Linked DNA regions of Arabidopsis thaliana. Each later gene encodes a partner of the first gene's protein in a complex. Each region holds a gene or a part of one and is shown in the gene's direction. Other genes may lie near its edges.

Evidence for each region.
Region 2: AT1G54010 (region 1) and JAL31 share a complex: the UniProt entries of both Arabidopsis thaliana proteins name them as parts of the PYK10 complex.

What each region holds. Positions count from the first base shown.
Region 1 is NC_003070.9:20,157,035-20,164,785, reverse strand, and holds AT1G54010 (GDSL-like Lipase/Acylhydrolase superfamily protein), read left to right. Parts: upstream 1-3,921; 5' UTR 3,922-4,038; coding exon 4,039-4,297; intron 4,298-4,588; coding exon 4,589-4,707; intron 4,708-5,061; coding exon 5,062-5,530; intron 5,531-5,618; coding exon 5,619-5,932; 3' UTR 5,933-6,197; downstream 6,198-7,751. Other genes in the region: AT1G54020 (GDSL-like Lipase/Acylhydrolase superfamily protein), read left to right, coding at 1,080-1,329, 1,855-1,973, 2,047-2,247, 2,328-2,580, 2,686-2,981. UniProt on the Arabidopsis thaliana protein: Involved in the control of the PYK10 complex size and possibly substrate specificity. May be exported from the endoplasmic reticulum upon interaction with MVP1.
Region 2 is NC_003074.8:5,577,602-5,584,644, forward strand, and holds JAL31 (jacalin-related lectin 31), read left to right. Parts: upstream 1-3,966; 5' UTR 3,967-4,115; exon of another isoform or gene 4,116-4,196; 5' UTR 4,197-4,228; coding exon 4,229-4,429; intron 4,430-4,530; coding exon 4,531-4,968; intron 4,969-5,106; coding exon 5,107-5,358; 3' UTR 5,359-5,586; downstream 5,587-7,043. Other genes in the region: PBP1 (PYK10-binding protein 1), read left to right, coding at 1,959-2,159, 2,257-2,700, 2,822-3,073; AT3G16432 (uncharacterized protein), read left to right, coding at 6,342-6,527. UniProt on the Arabidopsis thaliana protein: Polymerizer-type lectin that may facilitate the correct polymerization of BGLU23/PYK10 upon tissue damage. Activates BGLU21, BGLU22 and BGLU23.

The sequences.
Region 1 (7,751 bases):
TTATCTTGTCGCAACTTTTTTTTTTTAATCATTATCATGTCGCAGTTTGATGGACCCGTGATTTTGAGTTTCTTCATTTTTTTCTATATCATTAATATTATATATATATATATATGCATATATATTTGAGTTTGAGTCAGATCAATTTATACTGATTAGTTGTAAAGAATTTGAAACTTTGAAGCATGGATAAAGGGTTTAAATAAGGTTTTAGGGATTTAGGAATTCATGTTTAAGATTCGGTTAGAAAGTATAGGATTCAGTTTTTACTTTTTAAGATTTGTAGTTTAGTTGAATATACATTGGTGCTCTTTTAATTATTTTTAACAAAAAGAAGAAGTTATTTTTAACAAGATAAAGACTATTAAAAAAATCTCTTGAAAATAAATGATGTTTTGGTTCAACAAAACTTGAATACATTAATTATTAAGGGTTAACAAAAAAAATTATTAAGGGTAATTTAAAAACTGTGAGAGAAAAAACATTAATCATTGCTCAAGTCTTTCTTCTTCTTTTTTTGGTCGCTCAATGCTCAAGTGTGTTCTGCTTTCTAGAGCAGCAACTTTTTGACAAAAGGAAAAAGAAAAACATCTTTCTCAACCTTATTAAAAATAGAACAAACGTGTCTAGGTAGAAGAACTGTAGAAACTAACTAGTTAGTTTCAATTGATATAAGACATAGCAAAAACGTGAGAGATTGAATATTCACGGCGTTGTGGTTTTCTTTTGCTAACAATGATTTTACATGACATTTTTGCGAAACGTTTTATTTTCTTAAAAAATTGTGTTACATAATTGTTTTTTTGTTTGTTCTATAATTACGTAACAGCTCTTAACGTTTACAATAAATATATATTTTCTAACGTTTATATTTTTATTAGATATTTTTTCCCCAAACTTTTTTCTTTATTTTAAACTGAGTTCGTTTAATCTTTAATTATAGAACATTCTTTTTTTTTTGTCATCAATTATAGAACATGTTAAAAGCTCTTTTATTTCCAAATATTTTACAATATAAATATATTAGAGGACCGAGGAACTTATTGTACCTCATCATTCTTCCTTCTGGTTAACTGAAAATGGAGTGTAGTTCAGTGAGTGTACTAGGAATATTACTGGTATTTCCTCTCCTTCATAACCTTGTCACCATCTCCGGGCAGAATCTTCCGGCGGTGGGTTTGTTCACTTTCGGAGATTCCAACTTCGACGCTGGAAATAAAAAGTTCCTCACAAGTGCTCCACTTCCTCAAAACTTTTGGCCTTACGGTAAATCTCGAGATGACCCTAAGGGCAAGTTTTCTGATGGCAAAATTGTCCCGGACTTTATTGGTAAGTTTGTAAATTTATCTCTATTTTACACTTTTAATTTTTTCAAAAGGAATCAGATTGTTTTATTATATCTTTCTAATCCCAAGTAAACATATAGAGGACAACATATGGTTTGTGGATTGATGCTTATTTGTTATCCTTCATGTTAAAATTCTGTCCCAATACAGTTGTTAAATATTTTACTTAAATCAATAAATGATTTTATAATGAGTTCGATTAAAAATAAGCAATTGCAACGGGTACTTCAATATTGCAAACTCTTTTATAATGTGTGAAAAGTTGGTAAAAACGTAACGGGCTAGTAATTGTTTTTTCAAAGGTCTCAATCTGAATCAGCCTGATTTCTTTAATATTTTAACAACGTATACAAGATGAACACGCTCTTTATAGGTATAATGCTATAATGCATATCATTTAACCATTAAGAAAACTAGCTACTCGTTTTTATAGGTACTCTATACTAAATGGAAATTTTGATTGGTAATTAAAGATATATGAAATTGATGAGGGGTGAATAAATCACAGCAAAATTCATGGGGATACCACACGATTTACCGCCGGCGCTAAAACCCGGCACCGATGTGTCACGAGGAGCCAGCTTCGCCGTCGGGTCCGCTTCCATTCTTGGATCTCCAAAAGATTCTGTAAGCTCACTTAAAATATTTGTTAATCAATCGTAAAGCAATGTCATAATAAAGATTCACATTTTTTTGGTAGTTGGCTCTGAATCAACAAGTGAGGAAATTCAATCAGATGATATCAAATTGGAAAGTGGATTACATTCAGAAATCAGTGTTTATGATTAGCATTGGTATGGAAGATTACTACAACTTTACCAAAAACAATCCTAATGCTGAAGTTTCTGCTCAACAAGCTTTCGTTACTTCTGTCACTAACCGGTTTAAGAGTGATATCAACGTAAGTATTTTCATCCAAAACTAATCAAAAATTAATACGAGTTAGTGATATAGATATGTTGTTATAATGATTAATTGCAGTTGTTGTATTCATCTGGAGCTAGTAAATTCGTCGTACACTTGCTAGCGCCATTAGGTTGTTTACCGATCGCAAGACAAGAATTTAAAACCGGTAACAATTGTTACGAGAAACTCAATGATTTGGCCAAACAACACAACGCTAAAATTGGACCGATTTTGAACGAAATGGCGGAAACTAAACCGGATTTCCAATTCACCGTTTTCGATTTCTACAACGTTATTCTTCGCAGGACACAAAGAAACATGAACTACCGTGAGTTACAATTCGCCATTCAAAGTTCCACACTATCATTAATATCGTTATATGCTTTTACTTTGAAGCAAACATTTAATAATACTTGTTGTTATGACTAATTAGGGTTTTCCGTGACGAATATATCGTGTTGCGGTGTTGGGACGCATTATGCATATGGTTGTGGTTTACCTAACGTGCACTCGAAGTTATGCGAATATCAAAGATCCTACCTTTACTTCGACGCACGTCATAACACAGAGAAAGCACAAGAAGCGTTTGCTCATCTTATCTTTGGAGCTGACCCAAATGTTATCCAACCTATGAATGTTCGTGAGCTCATGGTGTATCCTGTTAATGAGCCTATGCGTGAGTTTTGGGAGGATCCAATGGATGAGAAGTTATCGTTAGTCCAATACTAGTGGATCTGTCTACCTCGTTTAGTTCTTGAGCTCACTATTTTCTATCTCTAGATCACGTACGAGCTCTTGGAATTTGTAATGTATTGTTCTTAATTAGTTGCGAAGTAAAATAATTAATACTGTTTAAATCCTCAACTCTGCTTATTTTCATAAGAAAAAAATAATCAATTAATGGGTAATTTGATAGACCTGAGAATATAACCAAAGCATATATATGACCTGCTTTGTGCTCATATTAGACAAGTTTCGGGCCATACGCACTCATTAGAACGAAATGATTGAATTTGGTGGAATCATTTAAGACTTATGGATTTCAAATTACATAACTCACTTGAGTCATTTTATTTACTTTTTTTTTTGTTTTTTTTTGCAATTCTTGTTGTAATGAAATAGTGGAAATGGTTTCAATTTTTAACTGTTCCAAAATTATTTTATAATAAGTGTTGTTTTAGGTTTTAATATAAAATTTTGGTTAAAGTTCCAAATTTTATTTATACTGTTTTAATGTGTTAACTAGAATGAATTAATCATAGTAAAACAATTTTTTTTTAGTTTGTAGTATTTAAAAAAAACGAACACTTGATCTGAAATGCATGGAGTATTTTCTTAGTTACGTTTTCATAGGTGAGAGGTTCCATTTGACATGTTTTTTTATATATTTTATTGAAATATAGGAATATGCATTTAAATCTTCTTCTGCCCTCAATGCATGATCGATCTTCTTGATACTAGTAACAATAAATGTATCTTGAAAATTAAGAATAAATAAAATAGAAATGGGATACCAGTTGTGCATTAACTAGGTGTGTAGAAAAAAGAAAAAAATGAACCTCGAGCAACACGTTATCATATATTCATATTTAAATAACAATATTTTTCAATTGCTAAATTGCTTTTTTCTTAAAAACAATCTTTTTGATAAAAAAAATTCAGTTGCCAAATTGTGTAGTATTTACAATATAAATATAACGTATCGGTCTACGAGCTAAGACACAAAAGCAATCTTCTACTCATTTACTGTTCTGTTTCACTTTCTCTCTCTCTGTATACTCTCTAAATGATGGCAAAAAACTGTAATTTAGTCAGTGTTCTATGTGTATTTTTGGTATTGACCCTCTTTAACAAACCCATCACCGTCGCCGGGCAGAATATTCCGGCGGTGGGCTTGTTCACCTTTGGTGACTCCAACTTCGACGCCGGAAACAAACAGACTCTCACCAAAACCTTACTCCCTCAAACTTTCTGGCCGTATGGAAAATCCCGAGATGATCCCAACGGCAAATTCTCCGACGGCCTCATCGCTCCAGACTTCCTCGGTGCGACATTTTTTTGTTTGTATAACTGAAAGATCTTAATCCGAATTCTACAAAACATAAAACATGCAAAATGATATTTTTTATCATTTAAAACGTTAGTACAAATGACGAGTGTTGGATATTAGTTAATTACTAAAAATAACGGTTAAAATATTTTAAAAATAAAAAAGGTTCAGCTGGTATTCACTTTTCGAAACACATGGATTTTTTTTTGATTTTTTTTCGTTAACAGATTCGGAGATTATATTTGTATTATATGAAAACCTAATATATTTAATGTACAAAATGCAGCTAAATTCATGAGGATTCCGATCGTGATCCCGCCGGCCCTTCAACCGAACGTCAATGTCTCACGTGGAGCTAGTTTCGCCGTCGCTGATGCTACTCTACTCGGAGCTCCGGTGGAATCTGTAAGTCAACTTAATTTCTTACTATAATCATCTTATTCAAAATAAATGAACCATGTCTGTCTTTTATTGACCCGGTCATACATAGCCGGTCCTTAATTTACCTTCAGGTGGCCTTAGCACAATTGGAAGATGGCCTTCTTAATGATATAAAATATATTAAAGGTTTTACCAAATTACTGTTTTTATTTTTTTTGGCGAATGATTTAGTATATATCTTCTGGTCTAAAGCATGTGCTTGACCTGTCTTATGGACTAGCCTGGATCATACTAAACGGCATATTTTTGTTTTATTAAAGACATCTGACTTTAACTGCAATTATAATTTTGTCTTTTTGTCTTTTTTTGTTTTTTTAGTTGACTCTGAATCAACAAGTGAGAAAGTTCAATCAAATGAAAGCAGCAAATTGGAATGATGATTTCGTGAAGAAGTCAGTGTTTATGATATACATTGGTGCAAACGATTACTTGAATTTCACCAAGAACAACCCTAACGCCGATGCATCTACTCAACAAGCTTTTGTCACTTCCGTGACCAACAAGTTAAAGAACGATATCAGCTTGTTGTATTCATCAGGAGCGAGTAAATTTGTGATCCAAACCCTAGCTCCATTGGGTTGCTTACCCATCGTCAGACAAGAGTTCAACACCGGGATGGATCAATGCTATGAGAAACTCAACGATTTGGCTAAACAACACAACGAAAAAATTGGACCGATGTTGAACGAATTGGCTAGAACAGCTCCTGCATCAGCTCCTTTCCAATTCACCGTCTTTGATTTCTACAACGCGATTCTTACTAGGACGCAGAGGAACCAAAACTTCCGTGAGTTGGTTAATTATCATGGTTTAATTTCATTTTTAAATTTTTTTATAACTTCTAATACCATGTGTTTAATATTTGCCATTCTTAGGATTTTTCGTTACGAACGCATCGTGCTGCGGAGTTGGGACACATGATGCTTATGGTTGCGGTTTTCCTAACGTACATTCGAGGCTATGCGAGTACCAACGGTCTTACCTATTCTTCGACGGACGTCACAACACTGAGAAGGCGCAAGAGATGTTTGGTCATCTTCTTTTTGGAGCCGATACAAATGTTATCCAACCGATGAACATCCGTGAGCTTGTCGTTTACCCTGCCGATGAACCTATGCGTGAGTCTTGGGTGCCCCCAACGTCAGCCACCGTTCAACTCAGGGAGAGCCGCGGTTACGAGTATTACTGAGTCTCTAAAATCAATATTTAGGGATCGATCGGGGTTTCTATAAGGGTTATGAGTCAAATTATAACTGGATCAATATCGGAATCTTGAGTAGTTTTAATTTCCAATGTTTTCATGTTTCTCTAGTGAGTTTTCCTCCATAATAAAAGATTGATCTCTGCAACTCTTACCCCTTGCAAATCTTTTATTTAAAAGAAACAAAACTTTTACATAAATTTATTTCTTTTTTTTGTCAACCACATATTAAAAGGTAATTCCATAATTAAAAAAAGAAGGCACAAGAAGCGTTTTCTCATCATCTTATCTTTTGGAGCGGACCCAAATGTTATCCAACCTATGAATGTTCGTGAGCTCATTGTGTATCCTGTTAATGAGCCTATGCGTGAGTTTTGGGAGGATCCAATGGATGAGAATATCATCGTTAGTCCATGACGTCGACGTCGATGCTAGTGAATCTATCTAACTCGTTTAGTTCTTGAGCTCACTATTTTCCATCTCTATACCATGAACGAGCTCTTGGAATTTGAAATGCGCTGTTATTAATTTGTTGAGATTTAAAATAATAATGTAACCTCAACTCTGTTTTTTCCATAAGAAAAATCTCAATGAGTAACGTGATAAACCTGACAATATGAACCAAAGCGTGTCCAATGACCTGCTTTGTGCTCAGATTAGACAAGTTTCGGGCCACATGCACTCCATTAGAACAAAATGATAAATTTTGGTGGAATCAATTTAAGAAGGTAGTGGATTCAATTTGAGACCTTTTTTACCCTCTTTTTTTGTTTGCAATTATTCTTGCAAGGTAATATTCGAAATGATTGGCAACAAAGAAAATAAAAAGTAGAAATTATAAAGTTCCAGAAAAGATAAGTTTATACATCTGGCTTTGGGGCCGGCTATATTTACAGTTAATTTTCATATGAAATAAAACCAAAAATCATATATATAGATAATAGATGAACCAAACAAATGAGGCGTTCTTCATATAAAACTTCATCTTCACGTAAGCAAATGTGTTTTATTTTTATCTAGTTTCTGCACTCTTTTAGAAACAAAATTGTTCACCTTTCTGTCGTTCTAATGATTCCAATCAAATTGATAATTACTAGAACTTACAAACGAATAAGGACCAACTCTTCTGTATTTGATATAGACACTCTCTCAAAACTTAATCTTCTCTAATCTTCACTGTAAATCTTAAGGAACAACTCTCCACAAGTTTTTATAATTTATATATACATAACTAAGCTATTACCTATACTATTAAGATTGTGTCAACGCAAAATTGAGTTATTCTTTCTTATTTAAATTTGAACTATTAAAAATATGTAAATAATTAACGAAAATCTTTGTCAAAACACTATTAAGAAAATAATTTCAAAAATTAACATGATGATAAAATATAGATTGTTAATTGTTTTTTTTAATTGTTTTCAAGTAATTTAATCAATAATATGATGAGGATGATTAAGGAAATTACTATAATTTATCTTTTAAAGAATATCTTAGCATAGGTATGAGTTGTTTTTGCAAAATTTTAATAATTGATTTAAGTTATCTAAACGTTATTAAAATTATTATCCAAATTATCTATAATTATCCGAACATATTCGTCTCTTGTCTATTCTGGTAGTGATATTTTATGTATCTATATTATTCATATATCGTATCAGTATAATCTGACTTATTTAAAAATATCTATTTGATATGTATTTTGATATTAAAAATATTTTAATTCGAGTTGTGTACTCGTAAATTATCCAAAAGTTTTAGCAGAAATAAACATATCTACGTATATGTTGGTGTTGAAATTTTTTTG
Region 2 (7,043 bases), on another chromosome or scaffold:
AAAATTTTGTCTTTTTTTTTGTCAAAAGATAAAATGTTGTCAATCATTTTAAAAACAAAGAAAAAAACTTTTTTGGCAAGAATTTATATATTTGCTTGTCATAAATTTTCCATTTTGTAGTATTTTGAAAAAAATATTTTAACGAATGGAAGCAATAACTCGACAAAAAGAGTCAAACTAAAGTACCTTCACATGCAAAACAAAACGTAAATTTGGTATTTTTTTCCCATTAAAAAAAATATATATATATTCTTGGCCTTGTGTGCGAAGACGATCGAGAACGAGAAGAACGATAAGCTCAATACGCACGAACGTAGATCGAAGACTGGAAAGGTATATCTTCATCAAAATATTCATGATTATGGTTGAGTTTAATTTTGTTTACGTATTTGTTTTAATTTTTCAAAAGTCCACTGTTGGCTGGCTGTTGCTATCTTGGAATGATTTTCATATCTCAATAACTATTGTTTACTCTAAGTTAAATTATTGGGGTGCTATTTATGATGACTGATGAAGTGATGGGAACATGATTGCAATATTAAAATCTCTTTTTTATTTATATTAATTATAAGTTTGTACCCACTTCATTTTAAATAGATAATGCCAAGACGTAGGTATATTATTACTGAATTTATTTTTTAATAATAAGTAAATATGCAGGTTTCAACTAGAAAGGTAACACATCAACAAGAAATACCAAAAACCACTAGCTTACATATTTTGATCATATAAGTATTGAATAATATAGTTATAGATGATCAAATAGTTATTATTAATTACTTAGCTAGTGTAATTTCTATCGATTGTTTCACATTCGCAACAGATAATTATATAAATAAATACATACTACATGTTAACCTTTGTTTTTGTTAAATAGGATGTTTTCTTGATTGATGATCTAGATCAACTTTTAATAATTTATACGTACCAGCTTTCATTCGATCGTGCGACTTCTTGGAATATCCCATGGTACATTTGCAGTCGAGCTAGAAAGCTTTTTTGATAATTTATGAATCATATTAAGCGTCTCTCAATTAGATTAATATTTAGTACCAGTGTAAATGATACAATTATAAATCTTTTTACCAACGAATACAGAATTTGTTTTAGAAATATTCTTCGCAAAATTTTATAATATTTCATAAATCAGTTATAAAAAAAAAAAAAGCAGTTTTGAATTCAGAGGAATTCGTAAATTTCCCTAAGAGTTATTAAAACTAGTTGTGATATTTTGGAGTATTCTTTATGGCTAGATCCATATGATCCGGTTCTTGTATCTAGATTTTTTTTACGGAATATTGTATGATATATCTAGTCTCCTCTTTGGTTCTAAACTTCTAATTAATCTTCGGTGATTTGAATTAAACGTTACTGTTTTTAAATTATGATTAAGGCTTTAAAACATGTTCATACAATAATTACCAAATCTTAACCAATTAGACTCTTAATAAGGAGAACGTATATATATGTTGCAACTTGCAACTTTAGCCCTTTACAAATAATTAATCGTACATAATCTAATTGATAAACGATTCTTTAAATTTTAAAACAATGAATTAGCTTGCTGCCATCGTTTAATGGGCCAACGCCAATATAAAGACGATTAGTTGAGAAGTTGTGCAAGTAGAAGTATATGAATATTTTCATTATCTAAAAAAAAAAATGTATATGAACATGCGTTTTTCCCAGTAATGCTTTTTATATAAATATGCCTCGTGGATCACGAAAGAATAAATTATTATTTCCCTTATTATTTCATCTAGTACGATCAATATCAAGAAGTCAATATAAATAAACATACAATTCACTTTAATTGATCATAGCACCGATAACAATCTACTCTCTTTAAAAGGTCTTATCTCTATTCTTCTCTATTATGTAAAAATTGGTTAATAGTAGATATTAACAATTTATTTTTGCAACTACAGAAATTCGTAAGTACTATCAAGAAGCAGAAGATGGCCCAAAAGGTGGAAGCACAAGGAGGGAAAGGAGCCAACCTATGGGACGATGGATCGACACATGACGCCGTGACCAAGATTCAGCTCGCAGCAGGCATAGACGGAATTCAATATGTTCAGTTTGATTATGTCAAGAACGGACAACCCGAACAAGCTCCTCTTCGTGGTACCAAAGGCCGTGTTCTCCCAGCTGATCCGGTTCCTATATTTTCCTTGCCCATTAATCTTCTTCTTTCTATATGTATACTGTTATATTTTGAAGTTTTGACATTTTCATCTTGATCTATTTCTACAGTTTGTGATTAACCATCCAGACGAACATCTAGTTTCTGTAGAAGGTTGGTATAGCCCTGAAGGTATCATTCAAGGAATTAAGTTCATCTCCAACAAGAAGACTTCTGATGTCATTGGATCCGATGAGGGTACTCACTTCACTCTACAAGTTAAAGACAAGAAGATCATTGGCTTTCATGGGTCTGCCGGGGGCAATCTTAATTCTCTTGGGGCTTACTTTGCTCCGTTGACTACTACAACTCCGTTGACTCCTGCCAAGCAGCTAACGGCATTTGGTAGTGATGACGGAACTGTATGGGATGATGGTGCTTACGTTGGGGTTAAGAAGGTGTACGTTGGACAAGCCCAAGATGGAATCTCAGCTGTTAAGTTTGTGTACGACAAAAGCCCTGAGGAGGTCACAGGAGAAGAACATGGAAAGAGTACTCTACTCGGATTCGAAGAGGTATAATACTTTCTTTGCTCTTTTTGTTGAATGTAAAAATTATACATCAGAGAATTCAAATTCTCTTCCGGTTTCCATCATAATGTATTCAATTGTTTTATTTGGTTTCCAATAACTGCAGTTCGTACTTGACTATCCAAGTGAATACATCACCGCAGTCGATGGCACTTATGATAAAATCTTTGGGAGTGATGGCTCAGTCATAACTATGCTCAGGTTCAAGACTAATAAGCAAACGTCTCCTCCCTTTGGACTTGAAGCTGGCACAGTCTTCGAACTCAAAGAGGAAGGCCACAAGATCGTTGGTTTCCATGGAAGAGCCGATGTTCTGCTCCACAAAATTGGAGTCCATGTTCGTCCTTTATCCAACTGATGATGGAGCTCTTTATCCTTGATTCCATGCATCTAATAAGTTATCAAATCTATCTTCTAAATTTCTCATATGAGGTCTCTTCATGCCTCTGGTGAATGGTGATCTTTGATAAGTGTTTTACGCGTTGTCTCTTGCGATGTTGTTTTTTCTTTGTTCTTCTTGTGCTCTATTTTAATAAAGGAAGTTTGTTCCAATCTGATCTTTAGTTTCCCTATATGTTCTATAATACTTACTTTTGCCATTATTTGGTTCTGATACTAATTTTACTTGCTATAATTCAAACTAAAATCTCAACGTATGAATTGTACAATTTAAAATGCAAATGTTAACTTTTTTGGATCAAATATATAGTTGTTCGTATTTTCTCAGTAAAAAAATCCTGCACAAAGTTTTTATCTAGAATGTGTGACCATATTGAAGTTTTTGGCCTTCTCCAAACATAAAAAGTTATTAGTTAAAAGTATATGAGTTGGCCAAAAAATACGAACCGGTTCTTGTTTCTAGATTGAGCGTTACAGAAAATTGTATTATATATATACTCTTGGTTCTAATTTCTCTTAGGTGATTTCAATTATACTTTTACTGTTTGAAATAATGTACAATGCTGTGGAAACATGTTCTTACAAGACTTATCAAATCGTCAACCAATTAGAGTCCTAAAAAGGGGGTCACTAATTGTAGAATTCTGACTTATATAAATTGCAACTTGCACCCTTTACAAGTAATAACGTATATAATAAAATTGACGACTCTGTGAATTTTAAAAGAACTAATTAGCTTGCTGCCATCGTTTCATTGGCCAACACCAATATAAAGACGATTAGTTGAGAAGCTGTGGAAGTAAAAAAGGAGTATATGAATATTTGAACATGTATTTCTTCCGGTAATGTTTTAAATATGCCTCGTGGATCACGAAATAATAGATTATTATTTCTGCTAGTACGATCAATGATCCTATATGCGGATATATGGTTATATGCAAGAAGTCAATATAAACACCTATGATTCACTTAAATCGATCACAATCTACTCACTTTTGAAGGTCATCTCTCTTTTCCTCTCTATTAGTACAAAATTGGTTAATAATTGAAAATTCACAATTTGTTTTTTTTTCCAATTATAGTAACTATAGTAAGATTGATCAGCAAGCAAAATATGGCTCAAAAGGTTGAAGCAAAAGGAGGGAAAGGAGGCAACCAATGGGACGATGGATCCGATCATGACGCCGTGACCAAGATTCAGGTTGCAGTAGGCGGAATGGGAATTCAATACATTCAGTTCGATTACGTCAAGAACGGACAAACCGAACAAACTCCTCTTCGTGGTATCAAAGGCAGTACCATTCCAACTGATCCGGTTCCTATACATTTTCCTTGCTTATTTGACTTCTTCTAATTTTTATAGAAAATCTATTGTTTTACGTTGAAGTATTGACATATTGAACTTGATCTCTACAGTTTGTGATTAACCATCCTGAGGAGCATCTAGTTTCTATTGAAATTTGGTATAAACCTGATGGTCTTATTCAAGGGCTTAGGTTCATATCCAACAAAAAGACTTCTCGTTTCATTGGATACGATCGTGGTACTAGATCATTTCTCCAAGTTCAAGACAAGAAGATCATTGGCTTTCATGGGTCTGCCGGAGACAATCTTAATTCTCTTGGAGCTTACTTTGCTCCGTTGACTATCCCATTGACTCCTGCCAAGCCGCTACCGGCACTTGGTAGTGATGATGGAACAGCATGGGATGATGGTGCTTACGTTGGGGTTAAGAAGGTGTACGTAGGACAAGCCCAAGATGGTATATCGGCTGTTAAGTTTGTATACGACAAAAGCCCTGAGGAGGTCACAGGAGAAGAACATGGAAAGAGTACTCTACTCGGATTCGAAGAGGTATAATGTTTTCTTTCTCTTTTTTTTTTTGTTGTTGATGAATGTTATATACATATAGCTATATATATGCTTTGATCAGAGAATTCAAATTTTCTTTCGATTTCCATGATGACGTATTCAAGGTTCCAATAACTGCAGTTCGTACTTGACTATCCAAGTGAATACATCATCGCAGTCGAAGGCACCTACGATAAAATCTTTGGGAGTGATGGCTCAGTCATAACTATGCTTAGGTTCAAGACTAATAAGCAAACGTCCCCTCCCTTTGGACTTGAAGCTGGCACTGCCTTCGAACTCAAAGAGGAAGGCCACAAAATCGTTGGCTTCCATGGAAGAGCCGATGCTTTGCTCCACAAAATTGGAGTTCATGTCCGTCCCGTTTCCAACTGACCATGAAGATCTTTATCTTTGATTCCATGGAGATCTTTATCTTTATCTTATAAATTGGTCATTTGAGGTCTCTTCATGCCTCTGGTGACCTCTGATAAGTGTTTTAACTTTTAAGTGTTGTATCTTGTGTTGCCGGTTTTTCTTTGATGTGGTTGTGTTCCATTTTAATTAAGGAAGTTTGTTTCATCTCTTCTAATTTTTATATCCCCAAATGTTCCGATATATATTTCCCATTTGCGTCTGATACTAATTCTCTTACTATAATTAAACAAAAATCTCAATGTACGAATTGTACAATTTAAAACAAAAGTAAATTTTTTTGGATCCAAAATATAGGTGTTTTCTTTTCTCCAAAACAAAAATACCTGCGTAATTTTTTTTATCTAGATTGTGGCCAAAATATAGAAGTTTTCGGCTAAAAAATATTATTAGTTGCAAATAATATGAGTTGGCCAAAAATAAAGAAAATAATAAAAGTATGTAGCCTTCTTGGGTAAAATAATTTAATACTCAACGTGGATCACGAATTATGGATTACTATTATTTAGAATTGTGTTAATTAATTAAATAATGAGGCCTATATGTGGATCTATTCTTGAATATTAATTAGATTCTTTTTTGGTAAAATATCTTTGCTAATTCCAAGAGGTCAATAAATTAACGTACAGCCCACTCGGATGGATCACCACTTATCCTCATCCTTTATATCTCTTATGATACTATATTATAGTAAAATTTGGTTAATAGTTGCAATTAACAATTTGTTTTTTGCAGTTTTAGTAACTCCTAAGAAAAAATGTTTCGTAGTCTAGTGGTTGTTTTATAGATTAGAGTCTTATTGGTGAACGGTTTAAACTTTAGATATTTTTTTTCACTTCACTTCTTACCCCAAAAAAAACTCCAAAGATTGGTAAAAATCAAACAATGATGGCTCAAAAGGTGAACTTGGTAGTGATAAAAGAACTGCATGGGACGATGGTGGCATGGTGCTTACAACAGTGTTAAGGTGTATATATGTCAAGGCCACGATTGTCGATTGTGTGTCCACGGTTAGTTTGAGTATGCCAATGCTTCTCAAGTTGTTGCTGGAGATGAACACGGAAAGAGGTACTTATATATCGCTGCGGCCTAAACGGGCCAAACGCATTTTGAACCCATTTATTTTATAACTTGGTTGGTCGAGATACGGACTTTTTTTTTAATAAGTGACCCGTTTAATCCCACAACTTCCCTAGGCATTGTGGTCTTTGACTATTGTGACTATACTAGTTATTTTATACCTTCTTAAAGTCAGACCGGTTTCCATCGGACAAGATTAAGTTGTTTTGCTTGATTTCATTGTAGTTCGACATTGATTATCCAAGTGAATACATCACCGCTGTCGATGGCACATGCGATTAAATCTTTGGAAGTGACTCTGCGGTCATTATCATATGCTTAGGTTCAAGACTATTATGCGAACATCTAATCCCTTTGGTCTTGAAGCTGGCAAGACTATTATGCCAAAGGGATTAAATCTGATGATGATGGGAGAATCATAATGATCCTTCAGTTCTGACCATAAAACTTTTCGCTCCTCCACGTAGTTTGAAGCATAGACAAAGGAACAGAAAAATTCATCCTGTCGATCTTCTAGCTTCACCGAACAAGTCAGCAATTGACCACTCTTATAAATAGGACTAAGT